3 linked regions of the Cricetulus griseus genome follow. The protein of the gene in region 1 interacts with the protein of each later gene in a pairwise test. Links are inferred from orthologs where the notes say so. Each region holds a gene or a part of one and is shown in the gene's direction. Other genes may lie near its edges.

Region 1 (3,747 bases):
CAGCCTGGTCTACAAGAGCAAGTTACAGGACAGACTCCAAAGCCACAGAGAAACCGTGTCTCGAAAAACCAAAATAAATAAACAAATAAATAAATAATCAATAAACAGTAAAAACAACAACATAATAATAGGGGGCTAGAGAGATTGCTCAGAGGTTAAGAGCACCAACTACTCTTCCAGAGGTCCTGAGTTCAATTCCCAGCAACCATATGGTGGCTCACAACCATCCATTATGAGATCTGGTGCCCTCTTCTTGTGTGCAGGATCATATGCAGACATAAAGCTGTATACATAATAATAAATCTTAAAAAAACAACATAATAATTAATACACTACACACAATGATTATTAAAAGAGCCACACAGATCTGCTTCACTCCTTTCTCCCAGTGACCAGCCCCTGCTAAACCTCTGGTGTTTCGATGAGGAAAAAAAATGAAAATCAATGTATTTATGTTAAGCATTTGTTATTATTTTGGTGGGTCCTTTTTCAGACGGGGTCTCACCATGTAACCCTGGCTGGCCTCACTATGTAGACAAGCTCGCCTTGAACTCACAGCAATCCTCCTGCCTCTGCCTACGCCAATTACGCCAGGCTAAACTTTTATTTTTTAAGATAACGCGTCTAATAATAATTCCGTGTATTTGCTTAAGGGCAGGCCCCAGAGAGAGCAAACAGGGCTCTGCCCAGCGTCCCGCCTAGGCAGAGACGACACACACCCTTCAGCGTCGCGCGCCGAGCTCCGGGATCACCACTCTTGCAAGGCACTCTGGGATTGTCCGGCCGCTCCCTCATCTCGCGATGCTACCCTCCCCTCCACCCCACCCCCACCTCCTCCCTCCCCCAGGCCCGGCGTCCGTGCCCCCCCCAACGTGTTTTTCAAATCCGCCAATGAACGCACAGCTTAGGCTCAAACCAGCCAATCGGGATGCGGCGTCACCGGGAAATTTAAATCGCGCCGGCCGGCAGCACGAGGCACAAAGTCTGAGGGCTGAGGCGCAGTGGACGTTTCGAGGGCCGCCGACCCCGCAGGCTGAGAGCCCCGCACCGCCTTTCGTGGACGCCTGAGCCGGCTGAGCAGGTGGGAGCCGCGGCCGGGCCTGGACGGTAACGGCCGGCCGGAACGCGGAGCGGGCGGGAAGGCGGGAGCAGGCCGCGCCGGGCGTGTGCTGGGCCTCCGTGCCCAGACGAGGCCGCGGGGCGGGGTGGTTCCGCCGTGCCGGTGCCGGTGCCAGGCCTGGCCGCACCGGTCGCTGCGGAGGGCGGCGCAGGCCCCGCGAGGGGCGGCGTCGGGGACACCGGCCGCAGACGAGCGCACCCGGCTGCCTCTCCGCCGCTTTCCCGCCGCTTCTGCCCGGGGAGGGTCGGGGCTGTGGGCTGGAGCGGAGGCGGAGGCGGAGTGGTGGCAGTTAGGACTCCCCCGTGAGACGCTTGAGCCGGGCCGCCGGCGCCAGCCTCGGGGAGGAAGTTCCCGAGGTTTTCGCCTCGGTAGCAGATTGTCACATTGTGGCGATCACGCCTGCGATAGAAAGTCGAGCCCCAGACAGTGTCCACGGCTGGTGTCACTCGAATTGAATGCACAGACCGGAAAGCCTGTCCTGTCCAGGGCGTGCGGGACGCTGAAGACGCGGTGCCAATGTCACTGCTGACAGCGAGGGTTGTGGAAGGCTCTGTAACGCAACCAGCCAAGTCGCTGTGTAACCTGATGGAAGGTGCCTGATGTATGTGTATGCATTCGGGCCATGAATCAACAGAAAAAGACCAGAAGTGCCTTTATTGCCTTAAGGAGGTAGATTGTTAACTAAAAACCAGGCGGGGTGCCCCTAGTCGGTGTCCAGAATGTGGAGCCCCGGCTTAATACCGCGCTGGCCAGAGGCTTTAGGTCATTGAGTTTGTGAAAAGCCGATAATCTGAGTTGAGATGCTCTGCGTGCATAAACTACACATAGGATTCTGAAGGTGTATTAAAACGGTGAAACATGTTTATTTTTCTATGTTAATTTCATTTGTTGCTTTTTAGCCTTTTAAAAATGTGGTTAGTGGAAAATTTAAATGTTTGATTAAAAACCTGTTTCTGATTGACAGCTGCGTTGCCAGAAGTTTAATCCCTTTGCAGGAGGAGCACTTAACCACTGGACTTAATGCTGTAGCCATAAAACTGAAAGCTTGTGGGTTTTTCTTGTCTAGCATACAGATGGAGTCAATATATAGTTGATTTTTATTTTATTTATTTATTTGGTTTTTCGAGACAGGGTTTCTCTGTAGCTTTGCAGCCTATCTTGGCACTTGCTCTGGAGACCAGGCTGGCCTGGAACTCACAGAGATCGGCCTGTCTCTGCCGAGTGCTGGGATTAAAGGCGAGTGCTGGGATTAAAGGCGTGCGCCACCCACGCTCGGCTTTGATTTTTATATTCTAGTTGGCCTTAAACTCAAGAGACCCGCCTTCCTCTGCCTCCCTGGTGCTATGATTAAAGGCGAATGTTAGTATGCCCCGCCTGGCTTCTGCTGTATTCTTATTTAAAAAGTGCTCTTTTTTTTCTCACCCTCCCTTGTCTACTAGCTTTCTCCCGGATTCCTGTAACCATGTCCACCAACGAGAATGCTAATTCACCAGCTGCCCGGCTTAACAGATTCAAGAACAAGGGGAAAGACAGTACAGTGAGTACCTTCTGTCGACACTTTTAAATGGAAATAAGAAGGGGTGTTTATATAACACATTTTAGGGATTGAATCCAGTGCCTTACTGATGTTAGATGGGTTCTTTATTCCTGAGTTTTATCTCTAGTCTTATTTATTGTGTGTCTGTGCATACCTGGTGCAAATGCAGAGGTGAGAATGACAGCTTGCAGGCAATGGTTCCCTCCTCCGCCTGACTCTGCAGGATTGAAGTCCTGAGACTTGGTGGCAGGTGCCTTTTAGACAATGAGCCATCTCTTGCTGACCTTTGAGGGGTTTAAAGAAATGACTTGTCAGGAAAAGCTTATAGATAAAATGAGGTGTTGTGTTGTCTTTTCCTCAGGAAATGCGGCGCCGCCGAATAGAAGTTAATGTGGAACTGAGGAAAGCGAAGAAAGATGACCAGATGCTGAAAAGGAGAAATGTCAGCTCATTTCCCGACGATGCTACTTCTCCTTTGCAGGAAAACCGAAACAATCAGGTACATACCTAGACAGTGCTCTCCCTCCCTGTATAACTGCTGTGGCTGTCCTGGAACTCTGCAGAGATCTGCCTGCCTTTGCTTCCTGATTGCTGGGATTAGAGGCTTGTGCTCCCCCCAAAAAAGAATAAATGTCTCTTAGAAATTAGAATTTTTTTTTTGAGGGGGATTGGTTTCTAGACAAAATTTCTTTGTGTGGCCTTGGCTTTGTCAACCAGGCTGGCCTTGGACTCAGATCCACCAGCCTTTTTGCCTTAGGAGTACTGGGATAAAAGGCATGAGCCACCACTGCTGGCTAAATGTAAAAATTCTTGGACATGCCTGGTAATCTACTTTTGACTGTTGAATGTATGACAATTCTTTGTTTTTTTTAAGATTTTTAGTTTTTTAAGAAGTGTATTTGTGTTTGTGTCTGAGTATGTGCAGGAGGCCAGAGAGGTTATGTCCCCTAAACTGGAGTTACAGGCAGGTATAAGCCACCTAATAATGTGGGTGCTGTGGATTGCATTTGGTCCCCTGCAGGATCAATGCATAGCCCCTGGGGAAAAAGATCCGCCCCCATGTTCCCCACAGGGTTTCTGTGTAGCCTTG
Region 2 (3,747 bases), on another chromosome or scaffold:
CTATAACCCTGAAGAATGCAGGCAGGGTTCATTCACACTGACATCTAACTCCAAAGAATTTGGCTTTTAGATGGGCTTTTGCTCATCAATACTTAGTAGTTAGAATTACGGTGTGTGTGGGGGGCTACCACCTCCAATTTACTTATGGTTTTGTTTGGTAGTACTGGGGCTTGAACCTAGGGCCTCACAGGTGCTAGGCAAGTGCTTTGCTTCTGAGCTACACGCCACCCCTTTTGGGTTAATTTTGTTGCTGTGTTTTTGAGACAGGGTCTTACTGTGTAGCTCTGGCTGACCTGGAACTATGTAGATCAAGCTAGCCTGGAACGCAGAGATCTGCCTACCTCTTAGTCTTCAAGTGCTAGGATTATAAACCTGTACCACCATGTCCAGCTCTGGTATGTATTACTGAGGGAGGGTTTTTGTTTCTCAGACTGGCCTGGGTTGTTCCTCTTGCCTAAGCCTTCCAGTAACTGTGACTTTAGTTGGAAGTCAACATGACCTGGCTGGTTTCAGACACTTAAATTATCTCTGGAGGAGTATTTGCATTAGCAATACCCTTTTTAGTTAGGAACTATTGCTCTAGAAATGCTTATTTTTCTGAAAATAGTTTCTAGATGTTAATGATGGGTCTAATGACCATAGTGTCTTCTGTCATTTAAACTGTAAAAGAATTCGACCATCCGGACTCCCTTTGTATAACTGAACTCCACTGCTTGGGAGTGCGGTAGCCAGCTAAAAGCACAGAAACAGGAGTCCTAATCCAGGTGTTCGTCCTGCAGCTGAAGAATCCCTCCGGGGACTTTATCTCCCGTGGGTCCCTACTGGTCCTGCAGCTTTGGGGAAGTCGACTTCACCTCAGCAGCTCCCCACGAGGAAATCGAGGATGTCTATCACGTAACAACAATGGGGAACAGGCGACCTTTGAGAGTCTGTGCCTCGGGACTCTCCAGCCCCAAGCCACAACTTTCAGCGTTCAAGCCCCGCAGGCTGAGACCCCCGCAGAGCCACCCACGAGAGAAGCACGCGGCACAAGCCTCACATTCCCTCAGATCCACTGCCTGCCTCCTCAGCCGCCCAGCACACCATCAGAGGCCTCCACCAGAGTCTCCCGCGGGCCAGACATTCGTCCCGCCCGCGCCTCAGCAGCAATTAGCGCGCGAACCGTCTCAAACCCGAGCGGCGGCTGACACGTGACCAACGTGCTTAACCCGCGCTGCCAGTGGCGCCGGCTCAACCTCCACAGCCCGCGGTCTCTACGCCCATGCGCGAAACTCACGCTCCTCCCAGCGACCGTTTCCAAGGGGGCGTGCCCGTGAGCCACGTGACACCCGGCGGCCCTTCGGACGCTGCGCTGGCGGCTGGGGCTCCGACGCGCTTGCGTAGTAGTTGGACGCGGGCGTTTTTTTCTCCTTTTTTTTTCCTTGAATTGGTTCTGAGGGGGTATTTCGAGTTACAAGATGGCGGCTCCGGGCGCTCTCTTCAGCGCTTAGTAGCGGCTTCAGGCTGAGCGGATGTGTTTTCCCCTCGGTGTCGGACTCAAAGACGCACAGCTCCCGAGGCCTGCCAATCACGAAGTCCTTGGAGGCGCTCAGCGCACCGGAAGCTCCCAGCGGCCGCGACCGCAGCCTCGGACCTGTTCGCAGTGGCGCCCGGGACCTAGCGCGATCTTCGGCGGCCGCCCGGGAGGTGAGGGCCTGGAGAGCCGGGAGGGCCGGGAGGGCGGGGCGGCGGCGGCCTTTGGCGACGCGGCCGGCTGTTTGTGAAGCCGGGTCTGGCCTGCCCTGCGAACCGCGGCTGGCCGGAGGAGGAAGGCTCGGCGGGGCTCGGGCCTCGGCCCGGGCGGAGGTAGGCGGCGGTGACGGCAGGGCTCCCTTGGCCCACCTCTGGCCTTCATGCCTCCTACGTCGTCCCCCTGGCTGGCCCTGCTTGCACTCACCGTGTCCCCTGGCCGTTGGTCTCCCGGGTTCGTCTGGAGCCGGTTTTGTGGTTTGGGCTTTCCGGGGCGTTTCAGTGACCTCGATCTGCTTCTCGCTATCGAGGCTAGCCGAAGCGGTTTTCCGTGTGAAGTTCATCTCTTAAGAGAGCAGGACTGTACCCGGTGCCCACACTCACTGCAGGAAGCGATCGTTCACGAATAATGCGTTTCTCCTAACCACTACAGCACTTTATATTTAGAAAACATTTCATAACTTGGTGCCATTTTACCCGCAAACGCAGACATTTGGCAAACTCTTCCGGGTAACTTCATTTGTTGAGGGGATTAACTAACCCCCCCCCCCGTAACACGTTGGTAGAGGACTGGGCGTAGCACATACACATACAGTTCTATCCCCAACACTACACAAGGAAAAAAAAAGCCTTAATAATAACAGCTTAATAATAGCTGGCAAAGAAGTCTTTAGCTCCAGGCCTTGTTCCAAGTACTTCACAAAGATGTCTTTCCAAAAGAGGAAATATGGAATAAGTAGGTATTTGGTAACTTTGTTTTTAAAGGTGATGTTTTGCTGTATCTGTCTTGTCATTCTGCCTCAGCCTCTCCATTGTCATCACCCCGGTTGGTGAAACGTGTTTGAGCTTATCGTTCGAGTTAGTTTTCCAACACTACGACTTTTGAGTTTGGGAGTAAAAATTGTATTTATTTTGAACCAAATTTGTTTATTTAATATTTACAGAGCATTTCCTCTGTTCTAGGGACCATTCTTAGCTATGCTTTTTATCTTAAACTTAGTTATCGCACTCTTTCCATTCCCACAGATGAGGAAGCATTCGCCAAACTCACTTGCCTGGCATCTCTCAACTTGTCCTGGATGCTAGTATTAGCATCTTGTAGTATTTTTCTCAAATATGTAATGCCTCAGATCACTGATTCAGCAATAGTTATCTATGAGTCAAGTAGGTTTGGGACATTTGGAGTCATCAGTAAACCAAACTAAAATTCTTCCCTTGTGGTTTTTCTGACTGAATAAAATTGAAATGGCATCAGCTTCATTCATGTGTTTTATTATGGCAGTTACTCTTTCGTTTCAAGTATGAGTTAGATGTCAAAGTTTTACTTTGTATTTTATTTGAGTGTCCTACCATCCCTTTTGTCCTCATAAGTGACTATAACCGGTCCACTGCATGCCTCTTCTGCCCTCTAGTGTTGATGTTAGGTAATGATTAGAAAAATTAACGCATAGATCCAGAGACCTTACCCATGAAGAGTTCTATGAAGAATGCTATTTTTTTTAAAAAAATAATTTATTTAACTTTATTTTATGTGCATAGGTATGATGGTGTCAGATCCCTGGAACTATAGATATAGACAGTTACAAACTGCCATGTGGGTACTGGGAATTGAACCCAGGTCCTCTGGAAGAGCAGCTAGTGTTCTTAACAGCTGAGCCATCTCTCTAGCCCCAAAGAATGTTATTTCTAGTAAGGTCAACTTTGCAACGTTTGTGGGGAGGAGTTAAAAGAGAGGATTCCCCGTTGCTGGTGTTATTAGCGTTCATATTGTATATTTTAGAATCTTCAGTTTTAAAATCATTCATTCTGTAATCAGGAGAAAAGTACCTGAAAGAGAAATGTAAAAGATTGGGATATAGTAAAAGCTGGAGCCCCTCCTTCACATCAGCTTGTGGAGGGCTTTGGGATTCTGTGATTTGAAACTTACTCTGTAATTGCTAATCTGCTGCAGAGCATTAGATGATGGGTAAGATGGTATCTAGTGCCTGTTGTAGGATGCCCACTGCTGGGTTGCTGTGC
Region 3 (3,747 bases), on another chromosome or scaffold:
TGCACCGTCATCACTACCTGGCCAAAAAAAAAAAAAAAAAAAAAGCCCCAAATCAACACTCCCAAAAATCAACATCCCCCTTCCCCAAATTTAAATCAGACTTTCCTAGATCTAGTGTATCTCCTTGGGGTAATATCTCCCTTTCTAAGGGGGCTGTATACATTTTGGTGTGCTCAAGGTTCCTCCAGAATAACCAGAAATTCACTGGCAGGCCAGGCCTGAGGGGATTGAGTGGCCGTCAGACTATTGCAGGAAATCGGAAATTGAGGTGGCCGGCCATTCGGTTTGCAGATTTTGCAACCGACTTGGAGGGGTCCAGGTAACAGGAGAGGACTAGGTTTGGAAGGAGCTGTCTAGCCTCGTGGGCTGAGAGGCCACCTCCTCCCGGCAGCTCACACAATGTGGAAATGAGAAGGATCTGAAATTGAAAAAAACTGCAGGTCTGTCTTATCTACACTCCAGGCGGTCTAGGGATTACTCTCTTCCCCACGCTCAGGCTTACTTTGGTTTTCCTTTTCCTAGGCCCGGGGCGAGGGCAGGCCCTTTGCACCCGCTACCAGACTCCACCCAGACTTTACCACCCCCGCGCCGCGGAAATGCAGTGATCAGGGCGGATCTAGGCAGTCCACTAAGCGCCGATAGGCCGACGCGGCGTCAGTCAGGCCCGCCGGTACCCGGATGAGAAGCTGTGCGCGATACAAAGGCGAACATTCCACCCAGTTTTCCGTCTGGTACAGTGGCCAATGACCATCCTTCATACCCTAAGTGACAGGAAGCTCCACCAATTACTAACGAGCTTCGGTGACGCAGGTGGAAATTCTCGCAACTAGACCAACCTACTCCCGATCGCGATTGGCTAGCACTGTGAGGAGCGGTAGCGCCATCTAATGAGGAGCGGGAGCGAGAAAAGGCTCAGCCAATAGGAACGCCCCCAGGAGCGGGGCGGGGCTGGACCTTCGCCTCGGCGGCAGAGGAGCTCGGGGGCCATTTTGTGGAGCGCCGGAGAGCGAACGGTCGTGTGCTGCCTGCCTGCAGTCGCTTCGGAGTCTCCGCACGGAGCCGCAGTAGGAGAGGCAGTGTCTTCTCTCTCTCTCTCCGAACTCTTGGTAAGCGGAGGGGCCGAGTGCAGGGGAGGCGCGGGTTCGTGGGCGCTGCGAGCGGGTGTGGGAGCGAACGGCCTGGCGGCAGGAACGGCGCCCGCGTTGGTTCCCGTGGCCCGGGGACCGGGTCTAAGTCGGGCGGCGCCAGGCCTCGGCTCTGGCGCAGGTTCAGCCTGGTGACCTCCAGGCCGCGGGCGGCGCGGAGGATACCCTGCCGGCGCGCTCGTGTCTAACGGCCACTTTGCCTGCCTTCGACCGCCAGGACTCGGAGAGGGGAGCGTGAAAAGGAAGAAATGCAAGCTTGTTACCCTAATTGAGGTTTAATGTCTTAACGATTCCGTTATTAAGTCTTCTAAGTTCAACGTCGGGCGGGGGTGGCGGAGCGTTACGCTGATGATGTACTGGAAGCTTCCAAATTCCGGGCGGGCCACATGGCATCCGAGCGGCGTGTTAACAATAGATCGAGTATTCATTACTTTTTCTCCCGTAGGAATAAATGGTAGAAGGCGGAGTGTTTTCTGTAAAAGGGAAGTGTCACGGGTTAATTAAAATTGCAATAAAATTGCAACTTACCTTTTAATCTGCAGATTACGAATTACTTGAAATATATGTTAGTGGGACTTTGCTTGAGGTAGGTACTGCTGTCTTGAGAGAGAAACGATAGGTAAATTGGTTGACAGTATTTACTAAATTAGAGCGACTAAGATATTTTTAGGTAGGTAAAGAATACTGGAATACTGTGTACGAAAAAGACAATCGAGTTTTTAGGGGAAGCTGATAGCGAAATTAAAGGTAACCGGAGCAAAACCAAAATAGTCTTTTCCGGATATTCCAATATCCTATCAGTTCTAAACTTGGTAATAAGGAGTTTCCAGCCAGGTGTGGTATTGCATGCCTGTAATTCTTGCATTCCAGAGGCCATGAGACAGGAGGAGGATCAGTATCCATTGCAAGCCAGCCCAGAACTACACAGTAAAATCTTGGTTTTTTTTTTTGTTTGTTTGTTTTTGGCTGTTTGTTTTTAAAACAGAGGAGAGCTCCAAAGCAGTTTTTAAAAAAGCAACCCTCTGGGCCGGGCGTTGGTGGCGCACGCCTTCAATCCCAGCACTCGGGAGGCAGAGGCAGGCGGATCTCTGAGTTCTAGGATAGGCTCCAAAGCTACACAGAGAAACCCTGTCTCGAACCCCCCCCCCAAACTATTAACTCCCAGCCATTTGTTACAGCTGTTGCTAATGTAGCCCAGTGGTAGTGCTTAGGATGCAAGGTGCCCTTAATTTAATCCCCAGCACTAATAGTGTAGGGTGTCAGTTTATCTGGGAGTTAATTTTTTGTTTTAATTTTTATTTTTTGGGGACCTATTTTCTCCCTTTAGCTTTTGAGCCTGTCCTGGAATTCCCTCTTTAGACCAGGCTGGTCTGGTAGAGCCGCCTGCCTCTGTATCCTCCTGATCCTGGGATCAAAGGCCTGCCCCGCCTCCGAGCCATTTGTTTGTTTTTTCAAGGTAGGGTTTCTTTGTATGACTTCTGGCTGTCCTGGAACTTGCTTTGTAGACCAAATCTGCCTGCCTCTGCCTCTTCAAGTGCTAGGATTAAATGTGACCATCACTGCCTGCCAAGCCTCATCATTTTAAGGTGTGCCTTAGAAGTAGAATTTAAGAGTAAGATTTTGCTCTGGTGAAGTGAGAAATGGGTAAGAGAAATAGCTAGGAAGGCATCCATCAAAAATAGTGTTGTAAATAAGTGTCGGAAATTAGTATGCAAGAAGACTACTGGCAGTAGTTGAGATTGGTTAAAAACACCTGCCATTAAATGTTAGACATACAGGCCAGGTATGGTGGGGCACAACTTCAGTCCAGCGGAACTCGCTGATAGCTTATGATTTTGAGGCCAGTCTGGTCTACAAAGAATTCTCAGGCCTGGTGAGACCTTGTTTCCTCTATTTTTAGTCCTTCAAAAGTGTTAGAAATGTGGATTTCTGAATGGGAGGCAGAGGCAGGTGGATCTCTGGTGTACAAAGCTACATAGAGAAACCTAAGTGTTTGTTCGTCTCATTATTTGCTAAAGCTTCATACACTCAACTCATCGGAAGATTTATGGTTTTGAAACTAGATTTACTGGAGAATTGGCTGATTAAAAAACAACGTTCAGGTGTAGTAAAACCACAGGTGTTTCAGTAAAGATTTTGAAAAACTACAGTGGGTATAGGCTCCTGGTTAAGTCTTTACAGTTCTCAAAAGACAAAAGCTGATTTTCTGTTTAAAGTATTCTAATTTGAACAGATTGCTGTGCTCTTTACTACCAGTTTCTAATTGAGTCATAATTGTTACCTAGATTTTGTTTTTTTTGGGGGGGGGTTCCTTGTGTAGCCCAGGCTGTCTTGGAACTAGCTCTGTACACCAGGCTAGCCTCAATTTCAGATCCACCTGTCTCTTTCAAGTGCTGGGATTAAAGGCAAAAGGCATGTGCTACCACTGCCAGGCTTAGATTTTGTATTTTAGTAAGTGCCAGGTGATTTTTGAACTCTTGGTTGGCTTGATCATTTAAAGTGTCGTTTAAGGAGTTTATCTAAATCTTAGTGGGAACTTTTTTTTTTTTTTTGGTAGTATAGCCTAAAATACATTTTAAAACTTTTTCTCAGCCGGCGAGAA

Evidence for each region. The genes of interacting proteins can lie anywhere in the genome.
Region 2: the proteins of Kpna2 (region 1) and Nup50 interact in binary tests that used the Homo sapiens proteins (3 or more experiments, as listed by UniProt). The two-hybrid records come from large-scale screens. The link is inferred for Cricetulus griseus from reciprocal best matches to the Homo sapiens genes KPNA2 and NUP50.
Region 3: the proteins of Kpna2 (region 1) and Hnrnpc interact in binary tests that used the Homo sapiens proteins (3 or more experiments, as listed by UniProt). The link is inferred for Cricetulus griseus from reciprocal best matches to the Homo sapiens genes KPNA2 and HNRNPC.

The regions. Positions count from the first base shown.
Region 1 is NC_048600.1:119,948,327-119,952,073, reverse strand, and holds the start of Kpna2 (importin subunit alpha-1), read left to right. Parts: upstream 1-941; 5' UTR 942-1,081; intron 1,082-2,559; 5' UTR 2,560-2,582; coding exon 2,583-2,657; intron 2,658-3,018; coding exon 3,019-3,156; intron 3,157-3,747.
Region 2 is NC_048595.1:381,763,953-381,767,699, forward strand, and holds the start of Nup50 (nuclear pore complex protein Nup50), read left to right. Parts: upstream 1-1,548; 5' UTR 1,549-1,686; intron 1,687-3,747. UniProt on the Homo sapiens protein: Component of the nuclear pore complex that has a direct role in nuclear protein import. Actively displaces NLSs from importin-alpha, and facilitates disassembly of the importin-alpha:beta-cargo complex and importin recycling.
Region 3 is NW_023276807.1:207,170,406-207,174,152, reverse strand, and holds the start of Hnrnpc (heterogeneous nuclear ribonucleoproteins C1/C2), read left to right. Parts: upstream 1-950; 5' UTR 951-1,106; intron 1,107-3,747. UniProt on the Homo sapiens protein: Binds pre-mRNA and nucleates the assembly of 40S hnRNP particles. Interacts with poly-U tracts in the 3'-UTR or 5'-UTR of mRNA and modulates the stability and the level of translation of bound mRNA molecules. Single HNRNPC tetramers bind 230-240 nucleotides.